Elephas maximus indicus: one gene and its partner. The protein of the gene in region 1 interacts with the protein of each later gene in a pairwise test. Links are inferred from orthologs where the notes say so. Each region holds a gene or a part of one and is shown in the gene's direction. Other genes may lie near its edges. The genes, in order: SSC5D and SEC23IP.

What was found.
Region 2: the proteins of SSC5D (region 1) and SEC23IP interact in binary tests that used the Homo sapiens proteins (3 or more experiments, as listed by UniProt). The two-hybrid records come from large-scale screens. The link is inferred for Elephas maximus indicus from reciprocal best matches to the Homo sapiens genes SSC5D and SEC23IP.

The regions. Positions count from the first base shown.
Region 1 is NC_064829.1:91,524,341-91,539,552, reverse strand, and holds the start of SSC5D (soluble scavenger receptor cysteine-rich domain-containing protein SSC5D), read left to right. Parts: upstream 1-8,790; 5' UTR 8,791-8,906; coding exon 8,907-8,931; intron 8,932-9,438; coding exon 9,439-9,465; intron 9,466-9,778; coding exon 9,779-10,087; intron 10,088-10,622; coding exon 10,623-10,736; intron 10,737-10,923; coding exon 10,924-11,043; intron 11,044-11,693; coding exon 11,694-12,008; intron 12,009-15,212. Other genes in the region: ZNF628 (zinc finger protein 628), read left to right, coding at 917-4,156; NAT14 (probable N-acetyltransferase 14), read left to right, coding at 5,563-5,634, 6,716-7,264.
Region 2 is NC_064834.1:70,433,004-70,448,175, forward strand, and holds the start of SEC23IP (SEC23-interacting protein), read left to right. Parts: upstream 1-8,305; 5' UTR 8,306-8,381; coding exon 8,382-8,544; intron 8,545-14,429; coding exon 14,430-14,962; intron 14,963-15,172. UniProt on the Homo sapiens protein: Plays a role in the organization of endoplasmic reticulum exit sites. Specifically binds to phosphatidylinositol 3-phosphate (PI(3)P), phosphatidylinositol 4-phosphate (PI(4)P) and phosphatidylinositol 5-phosphate (PI(5)P).

The DNA.
Region 1 (15,212 bases):
TGGTTAAGTGCTACGGCTGCTAACCAAAGGGTCAGCAGTTCGAATCTGCCAGGCGCTCCTTGGAAACTCTATGGGGCAGTTCTACTCTGTCCTATAGCATCGTTATGAGTCAGAATCGGCTCGATGGCACTAGGCTTGGTTTTGGTTTTGTGGGGATGTGGGTAGGGGTGGAGGGTGCACAGCTGGCAGGGTCTGCTGATTGTAAATCCTGGTGGGGTCTTGGGACTTGTGGAGTTGGGGCAGCAGCAGGAGTGAGCTAGAAAGATGGACAGTGTTGGAGAGTAGGATGGGTGAGGTAAAGACCAGGAAGGGTTTCAGCTGTAGTGAAAAAAGGTTTAGGGTGTAGTCATGGAGGACAAGATCTTTAGAGGAGGGAGGGGGCCAAGGAAAGGAAAACAAGGTAATGGAAAAATACCCCCTTCACCTTCTGCAGACAAACAAAACCCAAATACTTTGTGGTTGGTGACCCCACGTGCTACAGAGTACAAGTGCTCCATAGGATTTTCTTGGCTGTAATCTTTGTGGAAGCAGATTGCCAGGCCATTTTTCTGCAGTGCCACTGAGTAGGTTCCAACTGCCAACCTTTAGGTTAAGTAGCCAAGCCTGAACTTTGCTCCACCCAGGAACTTTCCACTTTTTGCATGGACACACCTTACCTTTTAGGGGGAATGAGCAGAATCGTAAACGGAATGTTTGGCCTCCTAAAGATCACCCCAGAGCCCTGGAGGAGATGCTGACGTCCTAGGGTGGGTGACCCCATGCGTCCCTATTTGTCCCAGGCTTTTTCCCTTGTACACTACCTGGATGCTTGGCAGCACTAACCTGAAGGGAGACGCCCCGGAGGGTGGGCTGGGGAGGGCCCCTGACTCTTAAAGGGCCAGCATCCCCTCTGACTGGCACATCTCTGCCAGGTGTGATGGTCGGCTCGCACGTGGACATGGCACCTGCCTCCACCTCGGAGGGCGCCGGCGAGAAGCCGGGACCTGCTGCTCCAGCCCCAGCGGCGCAGTATGAGTGCGGCGAGTGCGGCAAGGCCTTTCGCTGGTCATCTCGACTTCTGCACCACCAGCGCACGCACACGGGCGAGCGGCCCTACAAGTGCCCCGACTGCCCCAAGGCCTTCAAGGGCTCATCGGCCCTGCTCTACCACCAGCGTGGACACACGGGCGAGCGACCCTACCAGTGCCCTGACTGCCCCAAGGCCTTCAAGCGTTCCTCGCTGCTGCAGATCCACCGTAGCGTGCACACAGGCTTGCGCGCCTTCACCTGCGGCCAGTGTGGCCTGGCCTTCAAGTGGTCTTCCCACTACCAGTACCACCTTCGCCAGCACACTGGCGAGCGGCCCTACCTGTGCCTGGACTGTCCCAAGGCCTTCAAGAATTCGTCCAGCCTGCGGCGCCACCGGCACGTGCACACGGGAGAGCGGCCATACACCTGCGGCGTGTGCGGCAAGAGCTTCACGCAGAGCACCAACCTGCGGCAGCACCAACGTGTGCACACGGGCGAGCGGCCCTTCCGCTGCGCACTCTGCCCCAAGACCTTTACGCACTCCTCCAATCTGCTGCTGCACCAGCGCACCCATGGTGCCGCCGCCCCTGCGACCACGCCTGCCCCAGGGACTGCCACTTCGGCCCCCGCCACCCCCCAGCACCGCTGTGAGCCCTGCGGCAAGGTCTTCGTTTCTGAGGCTTACCTGCAGCGGCATCTGCAGTCCCACGGCCCGCCTGTGCCCCCACCTGCACCCGCGCCAGCGCCGGCGCCCCCACCCCCGCCCGTGGTCCCCGAGCTCTTCCTGGCTGCCGCCGAGACCACAGTGGAGCTCGTTTTCCGCTGTGACGGTTGTGAGCTGGGCTTCGGCAGCGAGGAGCTGCTGCTGGAGCACCAGCCATGCCCGGGGCCTGAGGTGGCACCCCCGCCCCCACCCTCGGACACACCCGCCGCTTCTACTGCCTCCAAGCCAGACCCACCTCCGGCGCTGTCCCCACCCTCGCCCCTGCCTGTCTCGGCACCAGCCACAGCCCCCGGCTTCGCCTGCCTGCCCTGCGGCAAGTCCTTCCGGACTGTGGCAGGCCTCTCGCGCCACCAGCACAGCCACAGCACAGCCAGTGGGCAGGCGTTTCGCTGTGGCAGCTGCGACGGGGCCTTCCCACAACTAGCCAGCCTCCTGGCACACCAGCAGTGCCACGTGGAGGAGGCGGCAGCTGGGCGCCCGCCCCCCCAGGCCGAGGCGGCCGAGGTCACCTGCCCACAGGAGCCGCCGCCACCGCCCACTGCGGCTCCGGCCGAGCGGCCCTACAAGTGCGCCGAGTGTGGCAAGGCCTTCAAGGGCTCATCGGGCCTGCGCTACCACCTGCGGGACCACACGGGTGAGCGGCCCTACCAGTGCGGTGAGTGCGGCAAGGCCTTCAAGCGTTCGTCCCTGCTGGCCATCCACCAGCGAGTGCACACAGGCCTGCGTGCCTTCACCTGCGGCCAGTGCGGTCTCACCTTCAAATGGTCCTCCCACTACCAGTACCACCTGCGGCTGCACTCGGGTGAGCGGCCCTACGCATGCGGCGAGTGTGGCAAGGCCTTTCGCAACACGTCATGCCTGCGGCGCCACCGCCATGTGCACACGGGTGAGCGGCCCCACGCCTGCAGTGTGTGCGGCAAGAGCTTTGCGCAGACCTCCAACCTGCGGCAGCACCAGCGCGTGCACACAGGCGAGCGGCCGTTCCGCTGCGCACTCTGCCCCAAGACCTTCACGCACTCCTCCAATCTGCTGCTGCACCAGCGCACGCACTCTGCCGAGCGCCCCTTCACCTGCTCTGTTTGCGGCCGTGGCTTTGTCATGGCCGCCTACCTGCAGCGCCACCTGAGGACGCACACCCCTGCCAACCCAGCCCCCAGCCCCAGCCCCACCGGTCCCCAGCCCCCAGCCCCGCTGGCTGCTGCCCCACCCGCCACCCAAGACGTTCACGTCCTCCCACACCTGCAGGCCACACTCTCCCTCGAGGTAGCAGGGGGCACGGCCCAGACCCCGCCCCTGGGTCCCGCTGCACCCAACTCCCAGACGTTCCTCCTGGTGCAGACAGCCCAGGGCCTCCAGCTGATCCCCAGCAGCGTCCAGCCCTCCACCCCTCCGCCCCCACCTGCGCCTCCCAAGCTCATCTTGCTGCCTCCTCCCAGTGCTAGTGGGTGCGGGGGCCGGGCTAGGCAGGGCCAACGTGCTGTGGGGAAACCCGGGCAGGGGGCTGGTGTGGTCTGGCTGCCGAGCCCTGGGGGGCTGGGGGTGCAGGGAGGAGCCAGCCCTGGGGCCAATGGGGGAGGGCAGAGCCTCATAGTTCTGCAGAATGTGGGGGGTGGGGATGCAGGGGCGCAGGAAGTGAGCGGGGTCCAGCTCCAGCCCCTCCGGCCAGCCCAGGAAGTGACCACAGTGCAGCTGCAACCGGCCCAGGAAGTGACCACGGTCCAGCTGCAGCCGGCCCAGGAAGTGACCACGGTCCAGCTGCAGCCGGCCCAGGAAGTGACCACGGTCCAGCTGCAGCCGGCCCAGGAAGTGACCACGGTCCAGCTCCAGCCGGCCCAGGAAGTGACCACGGTCCAGCTCCAGCCCGTGGCGGGCCAGCTCACCAGTCCCGGTGGGGGCGCCGTGACTACGGAGGCCCCCAACCTGCTGGTGGTTCAGAGTGGGGCAGCGGAGGAGCTGCTCACAGACCCCGGCCAGGGGGAGGCGGGTGACGGCGAGGCCAGCGCCGGCGTAGTCCAGGATGTCCACTTTGAGACGCTGCAGACGGACGAAGGGCTGCAGAGCGTCCTGGTGCTGAGCGGGGCGGATGGCGAGCAGACCCGCCTGTGCGTGCAGGAGGTAGAGACCCTCCCTGCCGGCCTAGCGGAGCCACCTGCCCCGGGCCCAACCGGACAGAAACTCCTCATCATCCGCAGCGCCCCAGCCACTGAGCTGCTGGAGAACAGCGGCGTCGGGGGCGGTGGCACCACGCTGCAGCTCCTGGCCCCACCTCCGCCTGGGCCTGCGCCCGCCCCAGCAGGCATCCCCGCGGCGCCCACCCCCCAGATGGTCCAGGTGGTCCCCGCCGGGGCCGGGGTCCAGCAAGGCGTGCCCTCCATCCAGATCGTGCAGACCCTGCCCGCGGTCCAGCTGGTGCACACATTTTGAGGACACTGACTGGTACTTCTTCCTGCTTCAGAGCGAGACCCCGGCTCTGTCCGTCTTGGCTGGGCTCCGGAGAGGGAGGGGCTGCAGCCTGAGTTTGCTAATAAAGATCGAGAATCTCTTTCCCTTTTTTTTCTTTGGGGGGCGATTGAGGCAAGAGAGGAGAAAGGGGCAATGTCAAGGTCAAGGCGGCAGCCTGCGAGCTCCGACTCTCCGGGTCTGCAGATGACTGGCTTTGCGCTTTGGGGCCAGTTACTTCTATGTGGGTTCAGTTTCCCTGTCCTGAGAAAAGGGACGCATTGGTAACTATAGGGGGAAGGTTGGAGTCAGAACCCTGGTTAAGCCACTTGTAAGTCGCCCCGCCCTCCCCTCATCTGAAAAACGAGTGGGTGGGAATTCTCACCCCTAAGGGACCGCGAGGCCAGACGCCCAGGCTGAGGCCCTTGGGCATGGGAAGGGTCGGCCCCCGCGGCCTGGATGCTGACTGCGACCCTGGCCCCTCCTGCGAAGGCCCGCGTGCCAAAGAGAATCGATTCACTAGCAACACACACGCACACGGCGCTCACGTTGCCTAGCAACTAGGGGACGTCTCGAAGTGAGCGTGCGTTCACCCTCCGCGGGCCTGGTAAGTAGAGCTCCCCGCCCCCACGGCATCTGATCTCGCGGACCCGGCCGGCCAGGGCCAGTGTCCAGGGCCGTCTCCCGATTGCTCCTTCTCCGGGGACCAGAGAGGCCACCCCCCGGCAGGATCACCGCTTCCTGACGCTGTCCCTCAACCCCCGGGAGTCCAGCGCTCTGCCCTTCCGGACACTTGGCAACCGTTGCTAAGGCCGAGTCAGGCACCGCCCGCTGCACCCCCCCCAGCTGCAAGAGTTTACGTCACTTCCGCCGGCGACCCCTTTCCGACCCTGTTCCCCCGCCCAGGGCTGTCAAGGGATCTCATCTGCCCTGCAGAGGAGCTTGGCAGGTGCTCGCTCCTGCGCCGCGGCAGGGGCGCTGCTAGGTGCTGTCCGAGAGGCAGTGGTCCAGTTCCTGGCTGGGTCCCCCAGGGCGGCCCTGGCACCCGGGAGGGCGCCCCGGGGTGCGAGGTGTGGATGTTCACAGGGCATTTAGGGGCAGATCGCTGAGTACCACGGGGGTGGGGCCGGGATCACTGGAACTTCAGAAGGGTCACAAGGTAGATGGGGAGCTTGACCTGCCGTGTGGCTCACTCGGGGGCCTGGACTCTAAGTCGTGGAGCTTCGGGCCGGACCTGGGTCACTAATGAAACGATCCCTGTCCTTGGAGGGGGCGGAGGCTTTGGGGTGAACAGAGAGTGGAGAGGGGCGCCCGCTTCCGCTGACTGTCTTGTGTTCCTCAGGTGCACGCCTGCTCCCTCAGGGGCGCGGGGCTCGGGCCCGGGGGCAGCCATGGCCCCCGGCCACCTATCGGTGAGGGAGATGAGGGAGGACGAGAAGCCCCTGGTGCTGGAGATGCTGAAGGTGAGAAGCCGCGAGTGGTCCCTGTGCGCCCGGGCCGGCGTGGAAGAGGGTCCCGCCACCCCTCGCCCTGCAGCCTGAGGCCCTGGGACCCCTGGAGGAGGGGGTTCTTTTCCTCCTCGGTTACTTCGTAGCTGGGCCCCTTCTCTCTCCAGTGCCTTCTCCACCACACCCAAGGCCCAGCCACCCCAGAACCAGGACGATGTGGGGCCAGACTGCGGTGCAGCTTCCTCTCAGCCTTAGAGTCTATGGCCCTACGTGCCACCCAGAACGCATTGGGTCTGGTCAAAGCACAGCCTCGTACCCCAGCCAGGCAGGCACTCAGGACCTTCCCAGCCTTCCTGCGCATCCCCCTACTGCAGCCTGGGACAGTTGTGTGTCCTCTCTACCTGGCATATGGTCCCCTCCCAGAATCCAGTCTGCCTTTCAGGGTCATTTCCCAGGGCCTCAGTCTGGCCCCCTGGCTGAGTGGGTGCCACCATGGCTCCTAACTCATGTATTCATTCATTTGCTCATTCATTCATTCACAAACTCCTTCACTCGTCTGCTCACTCACGCATTCATTCATCCATTCATTTATGAACTCATTCATTCATTCACCCACTCATTCATGCATTCGTTCCCTCATTTATTCACAAGCCATTCATTCTCCCACTCATTTATTCATGCATCAATTCACTCCTTCACCCCTAATCCACTTACTCTTCATTCACACTCATTCATACATTCATTCACTTACTCACTCATTCATTCATCACACATCCATTCATGCATTCACACATTTACTCATTCAGACATTCACTGATTCATTTGTGCACTCATTCATTCATTTGCTTTTTCATTCACTAACTCAGTCTATGCTCATTTACTTACTCAACACCCAGCATGTCAGACTCTGTTCACTGGTGACTGCAACACATGAGGTCCCTGCCCCTGCCTGTCTCTCTCCCACAGACCCCCTCATTTTCAAGCTCTTTGCCCCAGGTAGGACTGGCTCCCCTCTCCTAGTCCCTGGTGTGCATAAAGGCTGTGGCGTGATGGACAGAGAAGGCTCTGCTCCTGACTGCCCCCCTCCTACCCTCAGGCTGGCGTGAAGGACACGGAAAACCGCGTGGCTCTGCACGCCCTGACCCGGCCCCCAGCCCTGCTCCTCCTGGCAGCAGCCAGCAGTGGCCTGCGCTTTGTGCTGGCCTCCTTTGCACTGGCCCTCCTCCTGCCTGTATTCCTGGCTGTGGCCACTGTGAAGCTGGGCCTGAGGGCCAGGTGGGGCTCGCTGCCCCCACCGGGTGGTCTGGGGGGCCCCTGGGTGGCTGTACGTGGCTCGGGCGATGTGTGCGGCGTCCTGGCCCTGGCACCTGGCACAAATGCAGGGGACGGGGCCCGGGTAACCCGCCTCTCTGTTTCCCGCTGGCACCGCCGCCGGGGCGTGGGCAGGAGGCTGCTGGCCTTTGCCGAGGCCCGGGCCCGTGCCTGGGCAGGGGGCATGGGTGAGCCTCGGGCCCGTCTTGTGGTCCCGGTGGCTGTGGCCGCCTGGGGGGTGGCAGGGATGTTGGAGGGCTGTGGGTACCAGGCTGAGGGGGGCTGGGGCTGCATGGGCTACATGCTAGTGCGGGAGTTCAGCAAAGAACTGTGACTCACCTGCCCAAGGAGAGCTGGGTCTGGGTGGGAAACCAGCATTTAGTGAGCATCTACTGTGTGCCAGGAAGGTTCACTCCACTCTGTCCACTGCCCAATGTGGGTAGTGTTTGGACTTTGGTAGTGTGTGAACTTCTGAGAGTGGAATCCCTCCTTTCCACTCTTGGCTCTCTCTTGGGAGCCAACAAAGCTCAGCCTGTCCAACCCTCTGCCTCAGATCCAGCCTGCACTGAGAAATCTCCCCCCCTCCCATCTGTGCTACAGGCCTGGAAGAGAGATTGGGAGGGGAGAATGAGCAAGTATGCCCCCTAAGAGTGAGGCTTAGCAGCAGGGGCATGCTTCAATGGGGGTTTCCTGAGCATGCGTTGGGGTTTGAGGCCTGTGATTGGAGGGGACAGGGCTGCAGAGTGGGTGGGGAAGGTTGGTGGGGTTGAGCAGAGCCTTTGCAGGGAAGGGCTGTCTGCATCTCGGGGAGCCTGGTGGGGACTGGGGTGGTGGGGGGAGGTGCAGGGCTGCCAGGGCTGGACTGTCTGGGAAGCTGAGAACTGAGAGCAGTGGGCGGGCAGCATCCCCTCCAGCCTTCCCTTCAGACCCATCTGGTTTTTTACACTCATTTGTTAATAAAGCCCAAAACTGCTGTGTGCCCTACTCTGTCTCTGATGCCTTTTCCAGTCTGTCTTCAGAGCCCCCCTTCTGTCTGGCTCCTCCTTCCCCAAGTCGACATGAATTGTTGGTTGGGGGGGAGGGTGGAGGCTGCACCGGGAGAAGGGGAGGCAATGAGCTCACAGCGGCTCAGTCCCTGCCAGCCCTTCTGACTCACGAGCCCCATTACCGAATTTTTTCCACCTCACAGCTGCCTGGTGCAGAGAAAGAGAGAGAGCGTATATGTGTGTGAGTGTGTGGAGTTCTCACTCCCCCCACCCAAACCTTGGCCAAAACTGAGGTCTCCCCATACCCCTCCACTTCCCATTTCTTACTCATTAGAGTCATCTATATGCAACCAACCCTCCCCACAGATGCAGGAATAGGGATTTTGCATTCAAACCTACCAGGAGTAGGGGCCAGGGAGGAGGGAACTTGCTCAGTCTCCTTTCCTAATCTAGGAAGTCCTTCCTGGTGTCTGGCTGCAAGCCTGCTAGCTGCACCCAGCCCCAGATGTACCTGGCTCAACCTCCATCCCCTCCACTGTGGTCTGACCATCTTCCCAGGCTGGACAAGAGAGGAGGCAGGAGGGGGCTCCCCATCTCTGCCAGGCCCCTACATCCACCTCCATGCTGGCCCTGCCTGCAGCCTGCCACCCCAGGTCTCTAAGCCCAGGTCATTACTGGTTTAAAGCCTGGTTGGTTCCCGTGTGGGTGTTTGCAGCTTGGACACCCTCCCTCCCTCCCGCCCGCCCGCCCGCCAGCCCGCCAGCCACCCCCCTTCTCTCCACACCCCAGCCGCTGGCCAGCTCCCTCCCTGCCCCCCGCTGTCCCCTGCCGCCTCCTCGCAGCCTCTCTCTTCCTTCTGGAAGAGCGTCCAGCCCCTGCCTGCTCCTCCCTGGGTCCAGGGCGCCTCCAAGGCACTTCCCTCCTGTGGCTGCCTCCTCCTCCTTCCCCCCCTTCCCCTTTCACCCTGTCCCTGCCCCGGCCTCTGCAAACATGAGGGTCCTGGCCTGCCTCCTCGGTGAGTGACCCGTCCTCCTAAGGGACTCAGGGGTCCTGCGTCCTTGCCCTCTGACCCCTTCATCATCAAGTTCAGGGACTCAGACTTCCAGGACCCCAGTCCCTTGAGGATCCATCCTTCTTCGGGATGCCCAGTCTCTCCCTCCTGGGGACCCAAGGGACCTGGCCCCTCCCCTTGGCCCTGACCCTGGGGTGGGGACCACTCAGCCATGTGACCTTCAGCCAACCCCCTAGGGGAACACAAAGGACCTGGTCTCTAGCCCTGATTTCAGGCGCCAGGACCTGACTCTGATTCCAGCCCTCTGCAGTGGGGTTCCAGGTCTGAGATATGAGGACTCCGAGCGCACGCGCGTGCGGGTGTGCGCGTGTGCTTGTGTGTGTGTGTGTGTGTGTATACACGTGCGCACGCGTATTGGGATATTCCCAACAAAGGTCCCGCTATGCAGAAAGGACCCCTCTTGGGTGGGGCCTGCCCCTCACTCTTTCCCACCCGTCAAACCCCTTGCAGCCGCTCTAATGGGGATCCAGGCTGTTGGTAAGTCCCCAAACTCTTCTGCCATCTAGTCTTGCCGAGCTTCCAGCCTGCCCTATCGGCTTCACTTCATCCTCCACCAAAGCCCTGGCCACCCCCATCTCCACGTGACCTCTTGACTGGCCCTCCGGGGAACCACTCCCCCTGGGGACCCAGGTGTCCAACCTCTTCCCACCTCTCTCCTGAGTGCCCAGTTGTCTGGGTCCCCCAGTGACCAGCTGGCTTCCCAATTGTCCCCTGCATCCCCTACCCTCATCCTGCCCCAGGGCCTTGGGAGTGTCTCTCCCCGGGGTCAGAGCCTCCCCTCCGTCCCCAGAGCGGCTGCACCTGGCTGACGGCCCCCATGAGTGCGCTGGCCGGCTGGAGGTGTGGCATGCAGGGCGCTGGGGGACAGTGTGTGACGACGGCTGGGACCTGCGGGACGCTGCTGTGGCCTGCCGGGAGCTGGGCTGCGGGGGTGCGCTGGCTGCCCCTGGAGGTGCCTTCTTTGGGGAGGGCGCCGGGCCAGTGTGGCTCAGTGAGCTGGCCTGCCGGGGCAGCGAGGGGCGGCTGGGCTTGTGCCCCCACCGTGGCTGGAAGGCCCACATCTGCTCTCATGAGGAGGACGCAGGCGTTGTCTGTGCAGGTGAGGAGGGCTCCTTGGCTCTAAATGTCATCTGCCAGGTGAGGAGTCCCTGGCCCAGGGGTTATCTGCCAGGTGATGAGTACCTGGCCCCAGCTGACTTCTGCCAAGTGAAGGGTCCCTGGCCCAGGTGTCATCTGCAGGTGAGGGGTCCCTGGGCCCAGGTGTCATCTGTGCAGGTGAGGGGTCCCTGGGCCCAGGTGTCATCGGTGCATGTGAGGGGTCCCTGGCTCAGGGGTCATCTGTGCAGGTGAGGGGTCCCTGGTCCTTGTTTGGGGCAGCCTGTTCTCCAGCTCCTTCAGAGATGACCCAGGGACCCAAGTCCTCAGCCCCAGTAACTGAGGGTCCAGGAGTCCAGATCTCCAATCTCTAATCCCCTCAAAAGCCACTATCTCCCTCAGGGACCCCCACTTTACAAGTGGTAGCTTTGGAGCCCTGGAGGACAAGGTAATGGGCATCCCAGCCCCTGCTGCTCTCTCAGGGACGCTGTGCCCTCTTTACTGTCCCCTCCCCCTCACAGTTTCTGTTCTCTCCATAGGCCAGCGTGTGGCAGCAAATTCCAGGGAATCGGCCCCTCTTGTGGGTGGGGATCTGTGGCTGGGGCTGTCCAGGGAGTTCAGTCCAGGGCCTGAGGTGCCCCCCACGACTTCTGGTGAGTCCCAGGGCTCACCAACTAGCCCCGCCCCATGCTCTCCTGGCCTCACTGTGGATGGTCTCCTCCCAGCTCTGGGAAGTCCTCCTTGTGCCCCAGCTATATTTGGAGGCTGAGAAGGTATAGCCCAGTCCCCCAGGTGGACAGAAGTTTGAGCTCCTGACCTCATGGCTGTCTTCTCCCTTAGTCCCCCGCCTGGTAGGAAGCTCCCAGAACAGTGGTGGCTCCCGGAAGAAGAGCCCCCGGCCACCCAAGCAGGCCAAGTCCACCAGGGCTCCTGTGCTGACCACCGGGGCTGCCCGCCAAGGTAAGTCCTTGCAGGTCCCCCAAACTGGATGCCCTAGGCCCAGCTTCCGACACCCCTTGGGGATTCAGGAGGCCCAGCCCTGTCTCTCCCTCTCCCCACCACCTGCCCATTCATTTAAGTGACCTAAGTGTCTGACTTTTGGCACCCAGGTACCACCCCCATTCCTGGCTCTCTCCTTAATGGGCAGGTCTCATGCAGGACCTGATTCTGTCACTGGACAAGCCACTGCCCTCTCTGGGCCTCAGTCTCCCCAGATAAGAAATGAGGGGGTTGAATGTGCTTATCCCAAACTGTGGTCAGACAAAACCCCCAGGTCCTTATTGTCCTCCTAGGCCCCTCACAGTCCTTCTGAGTCCCTCACTATCCCTCTAGACCCCTCCCTGCCCCCCAGGCCCCTCCCCGTTCCCACAGGCCCCACCCTGTCCCCCCAGGTCCCTCCCCATTCCTCCAGACCCCTCACCATCTCCCCAGACCCCTTTCTGTCCCCCCACACCCCTCCCTATCCCCCAGGCCCTTACCTGTCCCCTCAGACCCTTCATTGTCCCCCCAGGCTCCTCACTGCCTCCTCACTCCCTTCTCATCCCCTCAGGTCCCCTGCAGTCTCCCCTGTCCCTTACTGTCCCTTTCCCACCCACTCCTCCATCCCCTAGAACGGTTGCGGTTGCGGCTGGTCTCAGGTACCCACAGCTGTGTGGGCAGGCTGGAGGTGTGGCATGCGGGACGCTGGGGGACAGTGTGTGACGACGGCTGGGACCTGAGAGACGCTGCTGTGGCCTGCCGGGAGCTGGGCTGTGGGGGGGCGCTGGCTGCCCCTGGAGGTGCCCGATTTGGCCCAGGCTCGGGGCCCGTGTGGATGGACGATGTGGGGTGTGGAGGCGGAGAGCAGGCCCTCCGTGACTGTCCTCGCAGCCCCTGGGGTCGGAGCAACTGTGACCACAGCGAGGACGCAGGGCTGGTCTGCACTGGTATGTCAGGGTGGGGATCCTTGAGGACACCCCCAGTCCCCAACCCTCTTTCCCTCTCCAGGAGGCTGCAAAGGTTTGCTCGGGTCTCAGCTCTGTTCCTCCTCCTTATGCCAGGGACCCCTCACCTGTTCAGGTGACCCCTGGGGCCAAGAGCTCCTCACCTGCTCTCCAACTCCCTCCCTCCTCATCCTCCTCTTGAGGAAATGAAAGGAGCAAGGGTTTGAAGTGTGGGCGCTACTCTCAGCCCTGCCCAGTGGTCTTGGTGAAGGACCAACTTTCCGAGCTTCATTTTTCCCAACTGTGTAATGGGGCCAAGAGTATCTGCCTCACATCATGGGCTGAGTTTGGAGGAGTCCTGCCTGCCCTCTGCCCCTTGGCTGGGCCATTAGTCTCCTAGGGCTGCTGTAACAAAATACTGCAAAGTGGGTGGCTCTAAAGAACAGAAATCTATCATTTCACAGTTCTGGAGGGTGGGAGTTCGAGATCAGGGTATCAGCAGTGTTGATTCGTTCTGAGGCCTTGGGGGAGAAACTGCTCCATGACTCTCTCCCAGCTTCTGGTACCTACAGACATTCCTTGGTTTGTAGCTGCAATGTCAATGAGATGGACTGGCACAATAGGCACAACCATGGACTCAAACATACCATTGATCATGAAGATGGGGCAGGACCAGACAACATTTCGTTCTGTTGTACATAAGGTTGCCGTGAATCAGAGCAGAGTCGATGGCAACTAACAAGTCAAGGCTTCAGAGAGGAGAGGGTTAAATGGTCAGGGAGAATCAAACCTCACTGAAGTCTTTGATGACGCTTGGTGCTTTACCAACATCTTATTTAATTCTCATGACAACCCTGTAAGGGAGATATTTCTGTTTTTCATTTATGCTCGAGGGAATGGGCTGAGCTGAAACTCAAATGCAGGTATGTCTGCCAAGTACACAGTAGGTATTCATTCCAATGTCAGTTTTCCTCTTTCCCTTCCTCTTCCCCTTGAGCATCAACTGACTTATGTAATTGACTTATGCAAGTGCTTCCTGTTTGCTTGTAGCCCCCTGGGGACCCGACCCAGCACTTTGGAACTCCATTGCAATTGCCCTTTAATTCTGTTCTTTTCTCTAGAGTACTGTTTCTTTCTTTCTTTTTTTTTTTGTAGAGACTATACACAACAAAACATACACCAAATTCAACAGTTTTCTACATGTACAATTCAGTGACACTGATCACACTCTTTGAGTTGTACAGCCATTCTCACCCTCCTTTTCTGAGTTGTTCCTCCATTAACATAAGTAAAGTCACTGCTCCCTAAGGTTCCTATCTAATCTTTCTGGTCACAGTTGTCAATTTGATCCCTTATAGATAGTTCTTAAAAGAGCATAATGCTCAAGGCAGACATTCTATACTAGTTAAGCTAAACTATTGTTTGGTTTAAAGAAGACTTCAGGGGATATTTTTGGTGTAAGGTTTAAAGATTATCTCATGGCAATAGTTTTGGGGGTTCATCTAGCTTCCATGGCTCTAAAAAGTCTGGAGTTCATGAGAATTTGAAATTCTGTTTTAGAGCAGTGGTTCTGAACTGGGGGCAATTTTGTCCTCCATGTGTTTGAGGTAGAGATAGATTCCATACTCCCCAATAACCCAACTCTTACCTAAGGATGACCCAATGGAAATATACCCTAAAACCAAGAAGTAGTTAAAATCTAGACCAGTGGTCTCAACAGGGGGAGATTTTGCCCACCCTCCATCCCTTCCACCCATGTTTTTCTAACAAATAAATCTGTCTTAGAGGAAGGACAGCTCCTTAAAAGTGAGGATGGCAACACTTTATCTCACTTACCTTGGACATGTTATTAGGAGGGACCAATCCCAGGAGAAGGAAATCCTGCTTGGTAAAGTAAAAGGTCATCAAAAAAGAGGAAGACCCTCAATGAGATGGCTGCAAGAATGGGCTCAAACATAGCAATGATTATGAGAATGGTGCAGGACCGTGCAACCTTTCGTTGTTATGGATAGGGTCGCTATGAGCTGGAGCCAACTCCATGGCACCTAACAACAACAACAGGGGATATTTGGCAACACCATGAGTTGGATGGACTCTAAGGCAACAACAACAAGAGACACTTTCTTTTTTTAATTAACTTTTATTAAGCTTCAAGTGAACATTTACAATTCCAATCAGTCTGTCACATGTAAGTTTACATACATCTTACTCCCATCTCCCACTTGCTCTCCCCCTATTGAGTCAGCCCTTTCAGTCTCTCCTTTCGTGCCATTTTTGCTGTCTTCCCTCTCTCTCTATCCTCCCATCCCCCCTCCAGTCAAGAGCTGCCAACACACTCCCCAGTGTCCACCTGATATAATTAGCTCACTCTTCATCAGCATCTCTCTCCCCCCCGCTGCCCAGTCCCTTTCATGTCTGACGAGTTGTCTTCGGGGATGGTTCCTGTCCTGTGCCAACAGAGGGTCTGGGGAGCATGGCCGCCTGGATTCCTCTAGTCGCAGTCAGACCGTTAAGTATGGTCTTTTTATGAGAATTTGGGGTCTGCATCCCACTGATTTCCTGCTCCCTCAGGGGTTCTCTGTTGTCCTCCCTGTCAGGGCAGTCATCGATTGTGGCCGGGCACCAACTAGTTCTTCTGGTCTCAGGATGATGTAGGTCTCTGGTTCATGTGGCCCTTTCTGTCTCTTGGGCTCCTAGTTGTCGTGTGACCTTGGTGTTCTTCATTTTCCTTTGCTCCAGGTGGGTTGAGACCAATTGATGCATCTTAGGTGGCCGCTTGTTAGCATTTAAGACCCCAGACACCACATTTCAAAGTGGGATGCAGAATGTTTTCATAATAGAATTGTTTTGCCAATTGACTTAGAAGTCCCCTCAAACCATGTTCCCCAGACCCCCGCCCTTGCTCCGCTGACCTTTGAAGCATTCATTTTATCCCGGAAACTTCTCTGCTTTTGGTCCAGTCCAATTGGGCTTCCATGTATTGAGTGTTGTCTTTCCCTTCACCCAAAGCAGTTCTTATCTACTGATTGATCAATAAAAAACCCTCTTCCTCCCTCCCTCCCTCCCTCCCCCCTTCGTAACCACAAAAGTATGTGTTCTTCTCAGTTTTTTCTATTTCTCAAGATCTTATAATAGTGGTCTTATACAATATTTGTCCTTTTGCCTCTGACTAATTTCGCTCAGCATAATGCCTTCCAGATTCCTCCA
Region 2 (15,172 bases), on another chromosome or scaffold:
GCCACCTAGGGATGTTGCGAGGATATTAGGCCATGCCATCTATAAGTAGGAAACCCTGGTGGCAGTGGTTAAGTGGAACAGTGGTTAACCAAAATGTTGGCAGTTCGAATACACCAGGTGCTCCTTAAAAACCCTGTGGGGCAGTTCTACTCTGTCCTGTTGGGTCGCTATGAGTCAGAATTGACAGCAATGGATTTGGTTTTTGATTTTTATCTGTAAGTAAGAGCCCTGGTGGCGCTATGGTTAAGCGTTCAAAACGTCAGCAGTTTGAATCCACCAACTGCTCCCTGGAAACCCTGTGGGGCAGTTCTACTCTCTCCTGGCAATGAGCTCATTCGGTTTTCATCCATAAGTAATTACTGAGGGCATTGGAGGTACTGGGGTAAAAAAAGGAGATACCATCTGTCTTAGGCTGGGTTCTCCAGAGCAGCAAAACCATTTGTTATGGATTGAATTGTGTCCCCCCAAAATGTGTGTCAACATGACTAGGCCATGATTCCCAGTATTGTGTGATTGTCCACCGTTTTATCATCTGATGTGATTTCACTATGTGTTGTAAATCCTACCACTACGATGTTAATGAGGTGGGAATAGCAGCAGTTATGTTAATGAGGCAGGACTCTATCTATGAGATTAGATTGTGTCTTAAGCCAACCTCTTTTGAGATATAAAAGTGAGAAGCAAGCAGAGAGACTGGGGACCACATACTACCAAGAAACAAGAGACAAGAGTGTTCTTTGGACCTGGGGTCCCTCCACAGAGAAGCTCCTCAACTGGGGAAGGTTAATGACAAGGATTTTCCCCCGGAGCCAACAGAGAGAGAAATTCTTCCCCAGGAGCTGTAACCCTGAATTTGGACCTCTACCCTCATAGACTGTGAGAGAATAAATTTCTCTTTTTAAAGCCATCCACTTGTGATATTTCTATTATAGCAACACTAGATAATTAAGATATCAGTGAAGCATATCTATCTATCAATCTATCATCTATCTGTCTATCTAACTAGCTGCCGTCGAGTCAGCTGTGACTCATAGCATTCCTATAGGACAGGGTAGAACTGCCTCATAGAGTTTGGTTAGCTGACCTTTTGGTTAGCAGCCAAACTCTTAACCAGTGGGCCACTAGGGTTCATATATATATATATATACGTATAGGCCCTGGTGGCACTGTGGTTAGGCGTTCGGCCACTAACCAAAAGATCGGCAGTTCAAATCCACCAGCTGCTCGTTGGAAACGCTATGGGGCAGTTCTACTCTGTCCTATAGGGTTGCTATGAGTTGGAATTGACTCAATGGCTACAGGTTTGGTTTTGTTATACATATATAATATACATATGTATGTATATATAGAGAGATTTGTATCAAGAAAATGGCTCACGTGGTTATAGAGACTGGAAAGTCCCAAGTTCGTGGGTCAGGCCAGAGGCTTCTCCTGATTCACGTAACTGCAGGGGCTGATGAGCACAAGATCGGCAGGTAAGCTGCTAGCTCAAGTTCCAAGAACCAGAAGCCAGATGGAGGATTCAGAGCAAGCAAAAGCCCACAAGCATTGCAGAAAGCCCATATATATTGGATGCAAGGCACACCCCCAAGGAAACTCCCTTTAAACTGATTGGCTGTTCACAGCAGATCTCATCATGGAGGTGATCACATTATATCAGTTCTCATGGAGGTGATTACATCATTACATAGCTGCCAAACTACATCATAACTGCCAAACCATTGAGAATCATGGCCCAGCCAAGTTGACATACAACCTTAATCATCACAGTCCACCCCTTGCCAGCTTGGCACCTGTACACAACTTGGCACCTGTACAATCTCTAAATAAAGACAATTATAGTGTCATACTTACACCTAACATGATACAACTAACACAGTATAACCAAAAACTCACTAGCCGTGTTTGCATCCTGCATTTTATAAGTGAAGAAAATAAACATATTTGATGCACACATACAAGGCAGAAATGCTCATAACAATCACAGTCCTTGGTTCTGCAACTGATCACGTGGTCATAGCTGCTATTTAGAACTACCTTCTTCCACCACCCATTCCCATTCCGTATTCCCTTTACCCTTAGCAAGCACCTAAGCTGGGTGTGGTTCTTTGTCTGGTGGAGTGACCCAAACCTTCATTTCTGAAGGGTTTGGGCCATTAGTAGTGATGTTAGAATTGGGTTACTGTAGTTTTCCATTGACTTTAATCGCAGGGCTTGGTAGTACTAAGAGAAGCCCTAAAGGATCTCCTGAATTCCAGACGTATTCTTCTTTACCTCCATTATGTATTATTAATTTGATTTCTTCTTGGTAATTGGGCTCCATCACATCAGCCAATATGTATCTCCCTTCTTTGCCTGTTGATCCAGAGGCATAAGGAACCCAAAGTAGCTGGGTGGTATTCTTAGCTTCCAGTTCAATGGAATCAGTGTTATGTCTCCTGGTGGGAGCAGTCCTCCCTTTGGAACTAAGACCTCTAGTCCTGCAGAGCATAGGATCATAGGGACAGGAAGCAAAAGTTTTACAAGTGGGCCCCTAGGGGTAATAGTGAGTGGTGCCACTCCCATTTCCACCCCTTGATTCCTGGACCCATGAATCCTGGCTATTGGAGAAAGGGCACCATATATTGGAGGCTGGTTTAGAGCATATACAGCCTCCTGGAAAACATTGCCCCAACCCTACAAGGTATTGCCACCTAGCTGGCACTGTAATTGTATCTTGAGAAGGCCATCCCATCATTCTATCAAGCCAGCTACTTCAGGATGTTGGGGAAACATGGTAAGATCAGTGAATTCCATGAGCATGGGCCCATTGCCTCACTTCAGTTGCTGTGAAGTGAGCACCTTGATCCGAGGTGATGCTGTATAGGATACCATGATGGTGGATAACGCATCCTGTAAGTTCATGGATGATAGTTTTGGCAGAAACATTACACTCAGGGAAGGCAAATCAATATCCAGAGTAAGTGTGTATTCTAGTAAGAACAGAACGTTGCCCTTTCCCTGATGGAAGCAATCCAAGGTAATCAACCTACCACTAGGTTGCTGGCTGATCACCTTGAGGAGTAGTGCCATATTGGGGACTCAGTGTTGGTCTCTGCTGCTAAAAGGTTGGGCATTCACCTGTAGCCAAGTCAGCCTTGGTGAGTGGAAATCCATGTTGCTGAGTCCATTCATAACCTCCATCCCTGCCACCACAGCCACTTAGTTCATGAGCCCATTGGGCAATGATGGGAGTGGCTTGGGAATAGGATGACTGGTTTCCACAGAACATGTCATCCTATCCACTTGATTGTTAAAATTCTTCTCTGCTGAGGTCACCCTTTGGTAAGCATTCACATGAGACACAAATATCTTCTTTGTCCCATTCAGAGAGGTCCATCCACATACTTCTTCCCCATACATCCTTGTCACCAATTTTCCAAACATGTTCCTTCCAAGTCTCTGACCATCCAGCCAAACCATTGGCCACAACCCATGAATCAGTATACAATTGCACATCTAGCCATTTCTTCTTCCAAGCAAAGTGAACAACCAGGTGCACTGCTTGACGTTCTGCCCATTGGGAGGATCTCCCTTCGCCCTGTCCTTCAGGGAGGTCCCAGAAAGGAACTGTAGTGTGGCCGCTGTCCACCTTCCAGTGGTGTCTGCATATCACGCAGAACCATCTGTAAGTCAACTGATCATAAGGAACTCCCCATGAAGCCATAGGAGCCGACTGGAAGATGGAAGATAATGTGCCAGGAGTGGAGACCATGGGCATTTGGACATTTGAGGAAAAGTACTCCAGGTGTGAAGATTACGAAAACCTGGCATGTTGATGAGTTAGGGGTAGAATGATATACATGAAGCAGGAGAGGTAGGTAGGGGCCAGACCATGAAGGTCTTAAGAGTTACGCGAAGAGCTTTAGCTTTTATAAGTGCGATGGAAAACCATTGAAGAATTTTGAGCAGGAGAATGATGTGATTTGATTTACATTATAAAAACATCACTCTGGCAGAGATAGAGCAATTCTTCCCAACTATTCTCATATTAGAAAATTACAGTAATTATAGAGCTCTTTGGAGATAGACATGTATTCTAGAATGAGACTGGTGTTGCCATAATAAGGACAATATAAGATGTGCTCTTAGTTCATTGATTTAATATTATTTTCTTACTTTCAGTACACAAATTAGAAATATTCAGAACACTAGGTGGTTATTTATTTTTTTTCTATGTCTTGTAAAATTCTATGGTATCTCTGAACGTTATGCAATATGGTAGTTTACACATATACAACTGTGGTCAATAAATACGGGCCAGAACTATAGTAACTGTAAGGAACCCTGGTGGCATGGTGGTTAAGTGCTCGGCTGCTAACCAAAAGCCTGGTGGTGTGAACCCATTAGAGGCTCTGTGGGAGAGAGTTGTGGCTATCTGCTTCTGTGAAGACCACAGCCTCGGACACCCTATGGGGACAGTTCTACTCTGTCCTAGAGAGTTGCTGTGAGTTGGAACTGACTCAACAGCAACAGGTTTATAGTAAGTATGTTTCAGTTATTGCTGCTTAATGAACTACCCCAAAATCACAAACATTTATTATCTCAAGGTTTCTGTGGGTTGGGAATCTAGGCACAGCTTATCTGTGTACCTCTGGCTCAAGGTCTTGCATAAGAATGCGTTCAAACTATCTGCAAGGACTGTGATCTCTTCTGAAGACTCTATTGGGGCAAACGGGGTCTGATTCCAAGCTCATTCGTGTGGTTGTTGGCAAGCTTCAGCCCCTGCCACAAAGGCCTGTCTATAGCCATTGTGCTGGGTACTCACACCTCTCAATCCGATAACTCATGTCCTTCATTTCTGGGAATTAAAAAATTGTTTTTTGTTTTTCCTTACATTTTTTCTGTTCTTTATTCTTAGGAGGACTCTTATTATCCAGATATTGTATTTCTTTGCCTGGTACTCTAGTTTTTCTATTATTTTTCTCTCTTCTAGTTTTTATCTTTCGGAAACTCTGGTGGCGTAGTGGTTAAGAGCTACAGCTGCTCACCAAAAGGTCGGCAGTTCAAATCCACCAGTGCTCCTCAGAGACTCTATGAGGCAGTTCTGCTCTGTCCTATAGGGTCACGATGAGTTGGAATTGACTCAATGGCAACGGGTTTGGTTTGGTTTTCCATCTTTTTGGAAAATTTCCCTATATTTGTCTCCTAACTCTTCTACTGATACTTAACTCTTTCTTTTTTGTTCCCTGAATATTATTGTTCCCTGAATTTTTTTTTTTTTGGTTTAATAGCACACTGATCATGTTTCTTGGTTGTAAATTTTTATTCCTCTGAGGATACTATCGATAGTTTTTTTAAAAAAAATTAATTTTTGTTCTTCCTGCGTGGGTTCTATCTCTTCTAACTTGCCATTTCCTGTTCCTTTTGTCTTGCTTTGGTCTTTCATCTTAAAGGCCTTTCTCAGCTATGTGGTAATCCTTGGTTGCTCATATTTGAAGTCTATGAAGACTAAAATGACGGGAACTCAGAGCGTATAAGCAGGGCTTGTTTATTATGAACTTAATTATGGAGTCATTTGGCTGAGCCATTCTTATTGGGAAAACCTGATTTCAATATCTCTAGGTCTTTTGTTCCCATTCTACAGGGAAGTGTCTTCCAATCTCCTGCCCAGAGTTTGAAGACCTAGCTGCTAGTGTTCTTGGAGCCAAATGGGGAAATCAGGCTGAGGATTGGGGAAGAAATTGTTCCATTATTCAGTAAGTACATACTTAGTTAATCTTACATCTGTTTTACCCTCTCCAGAAGGAAGAAAAAAAAAGCCTAGTATTATTCCAAGGAGGTGGATAGTCAGTAGTCCAGTTACACAGAGTTGAGGAGAGGACCCGATTCCTTCTTAAACAGACTTTCAACCAATTCTCCTAAGTATTGAAAATCTCTCTGCAGATTCATTGCTACTTCTAGAAGGGCCTGATGCCATCAGGTCATAAGCCTATGGTGTAGATGGCTATGAGTGGAAATTGACTCAACAGCAATGTTTTGTTTTTTTTTTTTTCGGTATGGTGCAGATCAAGTTGCCTTTGGACTTACCCCACTTCTGGTTTGCTAAATTATCTACAACGTGTCTATCTTTTTTGTGGCTTCCAAAATCTTGTTGCTATCTAATCCTCTCCCATTCTCCTCATCCTTATGGGTTTATGCTTTTAAAAAAGAAATCCATATTTGTGCTTTCAGCATGGTGTCAAGAGGAAGCAATGAAGATTCATCTGTTCAATCTGACATCTTTCCCCAGAAGTTACTCCTGTTTTTTTATTCCTACTGCAAGCACTCCAATTTGAACTATCATCATTGCTCACTTGGTCCACTGCAACAGCTGGCCAACTGCTCTTCCTACGTATAGGCTTGCTCTTTTCTTAACCATTTTATCACACTGAAGTCAGCATGAACTTTCTACAGAACAAATATTATTTCCTCTTTAAAAAAGAAACCCAAACCCATTGCCATCGAGTTGATTCTGACTCATAGAGACCCTATACAATAGAGTAGAACTGCCTGCCCCATAAGGTTTCCAAGGCTGTAATCTTTGCAGATGCAGACTGCCATACCTTCCTCCTGCGATTATTTCTCTACCCTCCCTTAAATCCTTTATTGGTTCCCTATTGCTCTTAACCTATAAGACCCTGCACCATCCGGCCCTTGTCTACTTTTCATCCATATCTCCCAACTTTTTCTCAAAAGCTTATTTGTCTCCAGCCGTTACTATACCTCTGTTTCTCTTGAAATCCAAATATGGTGTCTCAGAACAACCCTGCATACTGTTCCTTTATCTGAAATGGTCTCTTACCTCTTCCTATAACCCCACCCCGCTAAGTTTTTCCAGTTAACTTCAACTCTTTATCTTTGAGGTCTCAATTTCAATTTTTCCTCTTCAGGAAAGGCTTTCATGTCATCCCAGACTAGGTAGGTTCTTTGTTGATGGTCTGATTGTTCAGAATATTTGCTACTTCACCCTATGGAAGGGTTATACCTCCCTCCCCTCATGATGTATTTCATGTAACACACTTTGGGAAATTCTACAGTATAACACTCACCACACATTTGTTTATACATGCTTAGTTGTCTGTCTTCCCAACTAGACTGTAAGCTCCAGGAAGGAAGTGTCTCGCTCTTACACATCATTGTATCCTGTGTGTTTAGCACATTGCTCCCCACCCCCCAAAAAAGCATGCTAGTTACAGAATTAATGAATAAAGTTAGGTTCTATATAGATGCAAACAGCTTGGGGGGGGGGTTGGGGCCAGAGCCAGGAAAGTCTCATTATTTCAAGGTTTCTCTTGGGGGTCTCTTTTGAGCTTCTTCCCCCCATATTCCAAGAAGCTGAAAGACTGCTTATCTGTTATTAATAGTTCTATCTACTCTGTCCTATAGGGTCGCTGTGAGTCGCAGCCGACTCAACGGCAATGGGTTAATCTCTAAATATATGAAAGATAACAATTAGATCCAAGTTATTCACAATCCACTTTGGATTGAATTATCCAAACTACTGTGTAGATTTATATACAAAAAAATTTATACACAAAGCTATTTAAAAAGTCACACCCTCCCCCTAAATTTCAACCACCTGGTTTCTCTTTTAAACAATTTTTCTCTCCCTATGGCTTAAAAGGAAACCGTGCTGGTGTAGTGGTTAAGGGCTATGGCTGCTAACTAAAAGGTCGGCAGTTTGAATCCGACAGGCGCTCCTTGGAAACTCTATGGGGCAGTTTTACTCTGTCCTACAGGGTCGCTGAGTTGGAATCGACTCCACGGCAGTGGGTTTGGTTTTACGGCTTAAAAACTTCTAAAGCTTTACAGTTTCTATTCCTGGGCGAGGTACATGTGGGTGCAAGAGTGGGTGAGTTTGGCTCGTAGTTTGTTGCGAATTGCCAACAATCCTCCCTCTTCCTCTGCCATCAGAGGGCTGGCAGCAATCTGCCACCCGCGGCATTCCGCCCTTTCTTCAAAACCTTTGCCAGTTGAACACTCCCGTTAGTACAGGAAGCCCAGCGCGTCCCTGGCAATCCGTGACTTCCAGTTCGTGCACTGATTCAGTACGGGCAAGGCTCACTCTCCCACGCTCCTGCACTGGCCCCGGCCCTGGCCCCGGCCCTGGCCCTACAGCTCCACCCTGCTTCGGCAGTCGTGCAGCGTGTCACGTGCAAGATTCGGGCGTGAAGGCCACGCCGCCATGTTGATCTCTGGCGGCGCCCGCTAGGTGAAGGAGGAGGGCCGCTGACCAGCCGCCGGGATTTCCGGCGCCCGTGCGCAAGTGCGGAAGTGAGTCGGCCCCGAGTGTGACTGGTTTCCGGTTGGCGGTGGGCACCGGCTACACGGCGACGTGTAACGGACGGTGGGCCGCAACCATGGCAGAAAGGAAACCTAACGGTGGCGGTGGTGGCTCCTCCACCTCCTCGTCGGGCACCAACTTACTCTTCTCCTCCTCAGCTACGGAGTTCAGCTTCAACGTGCCCTTCATCCCAGTCACCCAAGCTGCAGCTTCCCCGGCTTCCTTGCTCTTGCCAGGAGGTAGTAAAGGGAGGGGAGGATCCCCTGGGACGAGTGTGTGTGTGTGGTGGAGGGGAAGGAAGGAGGGCGTGGAGTGACGAGGAAGGAACCCTCTCTCGTTTCCGACTTGTCCAGAGTTCGCATTCCACAGATCTTTTTTGAATACGGTAAAAATGGCATGGCGCAGTGGTCAAGAGCTTGGTAGTTCAAATCCACCAGCCTCTACTTAGAAACCCTATGGGACAGTTCTACTCTGTCTTACCGGGTCGCAATAAGTCGAAATCAAGGGGTTTTGGTTAACAGGTTGCAATTTAGGTTCAGGAATGCTCAGGGTACAATTCTATCAGGACAGCCTCTGCTCAGCCGTACCCACAGGCATGCCCCTCTCGGCCCCTTGGCCTCTGCTGTGCTCAGGCAAGTCTTACAAAGCTCTTTTAGCTCTGTTGATAAGTGCCCGGAAGCACCCTACTCTGCCACGAAGCCTCCTGCCCTGAGGCAGTCAGCTCCCTTGCTCAGTGGGATGAGCCCGCAAACCTCCTGCCAGTCTCCTGGTTCTGCTGCTCCTGCTGCCACTGTTTCTGTGCTGCTGGTTCTCACAGTCTTGCCATTCGGTGCTACAGCTCTCTGTCTCTGTCTCCTGGGTCTGAGAACATCTCAGTGCAGGGATCCTAGGTTCAAAGGGCGCGCTCTGCTCCGGCCTCTTCGTGGTAGTAAGGTACCCTCTCTGCTCTGGGAAAGGCTCTCTTTTAAGCCTAGTGGGATGGCAAAACGGACCAATACCCTAGTTAGGATTCCATACACCTTATTTGCATGGTCCCACCCCCACAAGGATGCCATGCATCTTATTTACATTATTAGCAAGCTGTCCAATCCCGTTGGTGGGCCGCAAGCACTAATTTTCATAGTCCCACCCAGTCTTTTGGTGAAAGTTATGAGACCGTGGTGAGGAAGACCATATAAAAGCCATCCATCGCACTGCAAATACCTACAGTGTGCGAGATGCTGCCAGGGGATGCAGATAAACAGTGCCCCTCCCCCGGGAGCCCACGATCTAGAAGAGAGACAGACCAAACCCAAAACCAAACCCATTGCTGTCAATTCCAACTCATAGTGACCCTACAGGGCAGAGTAGAACTGTCCCACGAGGTTTCAAGAAGTAGACTGCAATATCTTTCTCCCACAGAGCAGCTGGTGGATTTTAACTCCCACCTTTTTGGTTTAACATTTGAACGCTTAATTACCGTGCCATCGGGGCTCCTAGAAGAGAGGCACAGACATGTAATATCTGCAAAGTAGAAATACAGAATGCATTCTTCATCTTCCAAGACAATATATTCTGCTAAGAAACTTTTTGTTGTTCGCTTAGGCCCTCACTCCTATGTGTTCCTGTTCCTCTTTGTTCATATCTTTATTATCGTCTATAGAGATTGCAAGGAGCTTTGGTGGTACAGTGGTTAAGCGCTCAACTGTTAACTGAAAGGTTGGTGGTTCGAACCCACCAGCCACTCCGTAGGAGAAAGAGGTTGCAGTCTGCTTTTGTAAAGATTTACAGCCTTGGAAACCCTTTGGGACAGTTGTGCTCTGTCCAGTTGTTGCTAGGTGCCATCAAGTTGGTTCTGACTCACAGCAACTCTGTGTACAACAATGAAACACTGCTCGGTCCTGTGCCATCCTCATAATCATTGTTATGTTTGAGCCCATTGTTGCAGCCACTGTGTCCATTTCATTGAGGGTCTTCCTCTCTTTTGCTGACCTTCTGTTTTACCAAACATGATGTCCTTCTCCAAGGACTGGTCCCTCCTGGTAACATGTCCAAAGTACGTGAGATGAAGTCTCCCCATCCTCACTTCCGGGGAGCACTCTGGATGTATTTCTTCCAAGACAGGCTTGTTTGTTCTTCTGACAGTCCGTGGTATGTTCAGTATTCCTCGTCAACATCATAATTCAAAGGCATCAGTTCTTCAGTCTTCTTATTCATTGTCCAGCTTTCGCATGCATACCCTGTCCTAGAGGGTCACTATGAGTCAGGATGGACTCGAGAGCAATGAGTTTAAGGTGATGGCTTTTTTTAACGATTATTTGGCATAACCAGTGCATAGTGTGTAGGAGCACAGAATTTCTGGATTCTAGTCCTGGCCTTGCCAGTAACTTGCTATGTGACCCCAGGCATGTTATTTTACCTCTCTGTGCTTTCAGTTTCCATATATGTGCAGACTCACAGGGCTGTAATGAGAAATTATTTCTGTAAAGCAATGTCTTACCTGGCTCATAGTGTTACATAGTGTTTGTAAGATAAACTTGTCTACCTTCCCATTTCAACTGTGGACTTCTTAAAGCTTGCAGCTTTGACTTAATTACCTTTTTATTTCTAGTATTTTGTTTAGTGCCCAGCACATAGATCCTCAGTAAATGCTGAATGTACCAGTAAATAATTTATTTTTGCTTGAAGGACTAGGGAAAGTTTCCTAGAGAAGTGAGGAGAAGCAGACTGGGGCATCAGGGTTCCCCTTCATACATGAAAGGTCCACTTCTCTTGTGTTGTTTCTTCTTGGTGCCTATTGTCACCTGACATTTGCATTGATTTGTTTGTTTTATCCCACTAGAATGTAAGCTTCATGAGAGCAGGGACTTCGTTTTATTCACTCTTCCTTCCCCAGTGCCTAGAATAGTACCTGGCGTGCTAACCGTGGACCAGTTAGTCAATAGATATTTGTTGAACAAATGGAAAGACAGGAGTCAGAAATACGTATGTTGTGCTTTGGCATCGTGTCTGCCTTCAGGCACTGCCTTTCCGGCGAAGGACCAGTCTGGCTGGAGCAGAATGCCATGGGAGGTTGCAGGAAGAAGGAAGATCATACCTGGGGTTTCACATCATCCTTCTGCTTCACAAACGTTGTCTTGTTTCATACCCCTTTTCCTTGCTATATCATATTCGTGTGTGTTGCTTTCTACTAATGCTAAACATTTTCATTGTCAGCTATGTGGATAACTGCCATAACTGGCTTTAAAACTCTTGTTTCTTAGAAACAGAGCTTGTATTTTTGTGAGGAAATTACAAGATTTTAGAATGAAAATTCTGCAACAGGTATTTTTCCATCTCTAAAAAAAGGGGTTTCATAGTTAGAAAGCCATTCAGGAAACTTCCAGAGACAAAAGAAGACCCTGTCTCACTGGAAGCAACAGTTAATCCTATCATTGAAAGAGACGCATAGGAAGCAATTTCCTTCGTTCAGCACACATGGATCGAGCAGCTTCCATCTGCTGGGCCCTGTGATAGATGCTAGGGAGACAAAGCAGAGCAGACAGCCCTGCCCTCAGGGGCCGCGCGGTGTACGGGTGTACAGACATACCCCGCTGTGTCGGCAGTCACGGGGCAGTTGATAGCAGCTACACGGGAGTTGAAAGACTGCTGTGAAAGCTGTGGTCTCAGGCTGGCCAGCGGGGTGAGGACTTCCTTAGGCCTTCAGAACCTGCTGAGGAACTGATGCTTGAGCTGAGTGCTGAAGGATGCATAGAAATTAGGGAGCCTAGGAGACAGTGTTTGTAAAAGTCTGCGGATTTGGGAGTTGGTGGTGGATGGTATGGACAGGGATGGGTGACACACAGATACGTTCCCCCTCCTCTTTCCTTTTCCTCTCCCTCTCCAAGTACATCCATGTGACTGGAGTTTGTTTAGGGGCGTGGCTCTTGCAAGGGGAAGCTCATGTGGCAGATGGGGACTGAATCACTAAGGCCTCACTGGTAGTATGGTAATACTGAGGAGTCTGTAGTTCATCTTGTACGTGTGGAGGAGCCTTCGAAGGATTTGAAACAACGCAGTGATACTCACGGTTTGTTTCAGAGAGACTGGAGAATGGGTTGCACGAGAATAAGGTCAACTGGAGTAAGGCTGATTGTGGCAAGATTGGTCTGGAGTCTGGAGGCTGTTGTGGAGTCAGGCAGGAGCAGACAGCACTTGGCCCCAAGTCAGCCTCATTGGGTCTGAGGAACAGGGAGCAGGTGTGAGAGATTTTAGACTATAAAATTGTTGGGGCTTAATGAGTCAGTAGAGGCCAGACTGTCAGCTCTCTAAGCACAGCAGCCCCTTCTGCCTTGCTCCGTCTAAGCCTCAGTACCTAGCGCCATGCTTGGCACATATAAGTGTTTCCTGAATGAGTATCTGAGTGACTAAATGAAGGGTGTGAGAGTGAGGGAGGAGATCTGAGAGACTGGAGATTCCTGCTTTGAGTGTCTGGGTGCATATCGGCAAACGTCCATTGAGGTAGGGAGATGTGGTAAAAGGAGCAGATGGGGTGGGGGCAGTTAGGATGCTAAATTCAGTTTTAGGCTTGCTAAGTTTGAGGCATATGTGGCTGAGTCTGTCAGGAATGCTGAGGAAGTAGGTGGAAAGTAGGATTTGGAGCACATGAGAACAGTTTAGGTCGGGGATAGAGTTGGGAGTGTCTCAGAGCATACAGGTGCTGATTAAAGTTGTGGTTAGATGTGGTATGTGTTGGTGTATAATTAGAAAGTGCCCCTGATGTGAGGCTAATGGTATGTTGAGACCAGTATTTCATTTGTAATTGATGCCAGTCAGAAAAAAAAGTGTCTTGGATCAGGTTGATCTTTCTGTATAGGATGAAAGATGTCACAGAGGTTTTTTTCCTACGCTTGTAATGGTTGGGGGACGAACTAAGAACCACAGATGAGCCCAAACGAGGTTCTAGTGACTGAACAGAGAGGGTATGCACTGGAAGTGGAAGACTGACTGATACAAGCTTGTGCAGGAAGAGATATTTCCGTTCCAAAGGAACAACAGAGAGGAACATTTTGAATAGTGGCGGATCTTAGTTCACTTGATGTGTGTGAGATATAATGGGAGCAACCTAGCAGCACAAGCCAGAATCTTCCTTCCTAGTGGCCTCCTTCAGCAGAGTCAAGCAGGAGCTGGGAGCTTGAAAGCAGACATCCCCTGGCTGGTCTTCAAGGGCAGGAACCATAGAGTACCTGTGTGCTGGGCTTGAGTCCAGCCTGCTGGTGGACCGCATGCCACCAGCAGATAAGAGGGAATGAGTCATGAGAAGGACAAGATGAGGAGGAGGAGGAGGGTGAAAGTTAAAACAAACTAAGCGCTCCTAAAAGTGAGGTGGACTTTTCAGGCTGCCAAGAAGGAAAAATACATGTTTTATAACTTGGGATTGGAACAGACAATAAATACTTCAGTATTGATGATACCCATGGTGACGATTAAGTCGGGGAAAGAGAAATGAAGAGAACCCCCAGGTGACATTTCTAGGTATTTGACATTCTGTAACGACTAATGTCCACCTGTGGTATTGTGTGATTTTAGGGTTGGCAATTAGTGGTTGACCCACTTTGCCTTGGGAATGCAAATACCACGTATTCACTTGCACAATAAGTGCTTTGTAGGTGAGAGCCCTGACAACACCCCTTCTTGTCTGTAGAGTTAACATCCGTACTCCAGTTTCTTGTCCGTACTCTAGAAAGAAATTTATGTCTATTCAGGTAGTGGAATAACATTTGTATTATTTCTTACCAGGAAAAAAAAAAAGCATTCAAAAATAATTTATAAATATAGTAGGGGTAGATTTTGTTTCTATTGTAATAAGCCTCATCTTTTTTTTATGGTTATATAGAAATACTAATTAAAAAAGTATGAGAGGGTTAGTGCAAAATGTTAATAGTCTGGGAGGTGGGCTTATGAGTGAATTGTAATTTTCCCTCCTTTTGTTTTTTTATTATCCATATTTTGTAGTTTTTCTTTTTAACTGTCATTTGTTTTTTCTGTAGTACAGAAATACAAGTTGGTAAAACTAGGAGGTAAAATTGCTAGATCCGCCTTGTGAACTCATATCCACAGAATGATGCAGGGAGTATACTTTGAACCATTTGCTCTCCTTTTCTAGAGGATTCCACGGATGTCGGTGAGGAGGACAGCTTCCTTGGTCAGACTTCTGCTCATACGTCTACCCCACAGACATTTAGTTACTTCTCTCAGGTATCAAGCAGCGGTGACCCTTTTGGAAATATTGGGCAGCCACCATTAACAACTGCAGCAGCACCGGTTGGACAGTCACCGTTCTCTAAACCCACAACTGCTCTCCCTTTTACAACTGGATCCCAAGATGTGTCGAATGTATTTTCACCGTCCGTTTCGAAGGCTCAGTATGGTGCTCCACCTGCGCCGCAGATGGGAGTAAATGCTTACCCGCCTTCTCAGCAGAGTGGTCTCCCTCCTTCACATTTTGGGAGCCCACCCCCAGGAGCACCCCAGCAAGGATACAATCCATATCGCCATACTCCTGTCAGCAGCAGGGCTAATCCTTATCTTACACCACCACAGCTGCAGCAGTGCCAGACACCTGGCCATCCCACCCCCCCGCCACCCGCTGGACCCCCTGTTCAGACGTACCAGATTCCTCCTGGATCTTTGCCACCGGTATGGAGACAGGTTTTTATATGCTAATCATTCACTCTTAGTTTTTCTCTCTCACTGTAGCCTGTTTTTAAAAATGCCCTGTATTTTATAATTTGTGTGGTGACATTATTTTCAGAGGATATTCTGTGCAAGCTGCATGCCTTGAAGTAGCCATTTTCTTAAAGGTAGCTCATTGTTTTGTTGTATTGTACTTAGGGTGACTGTGAGTCC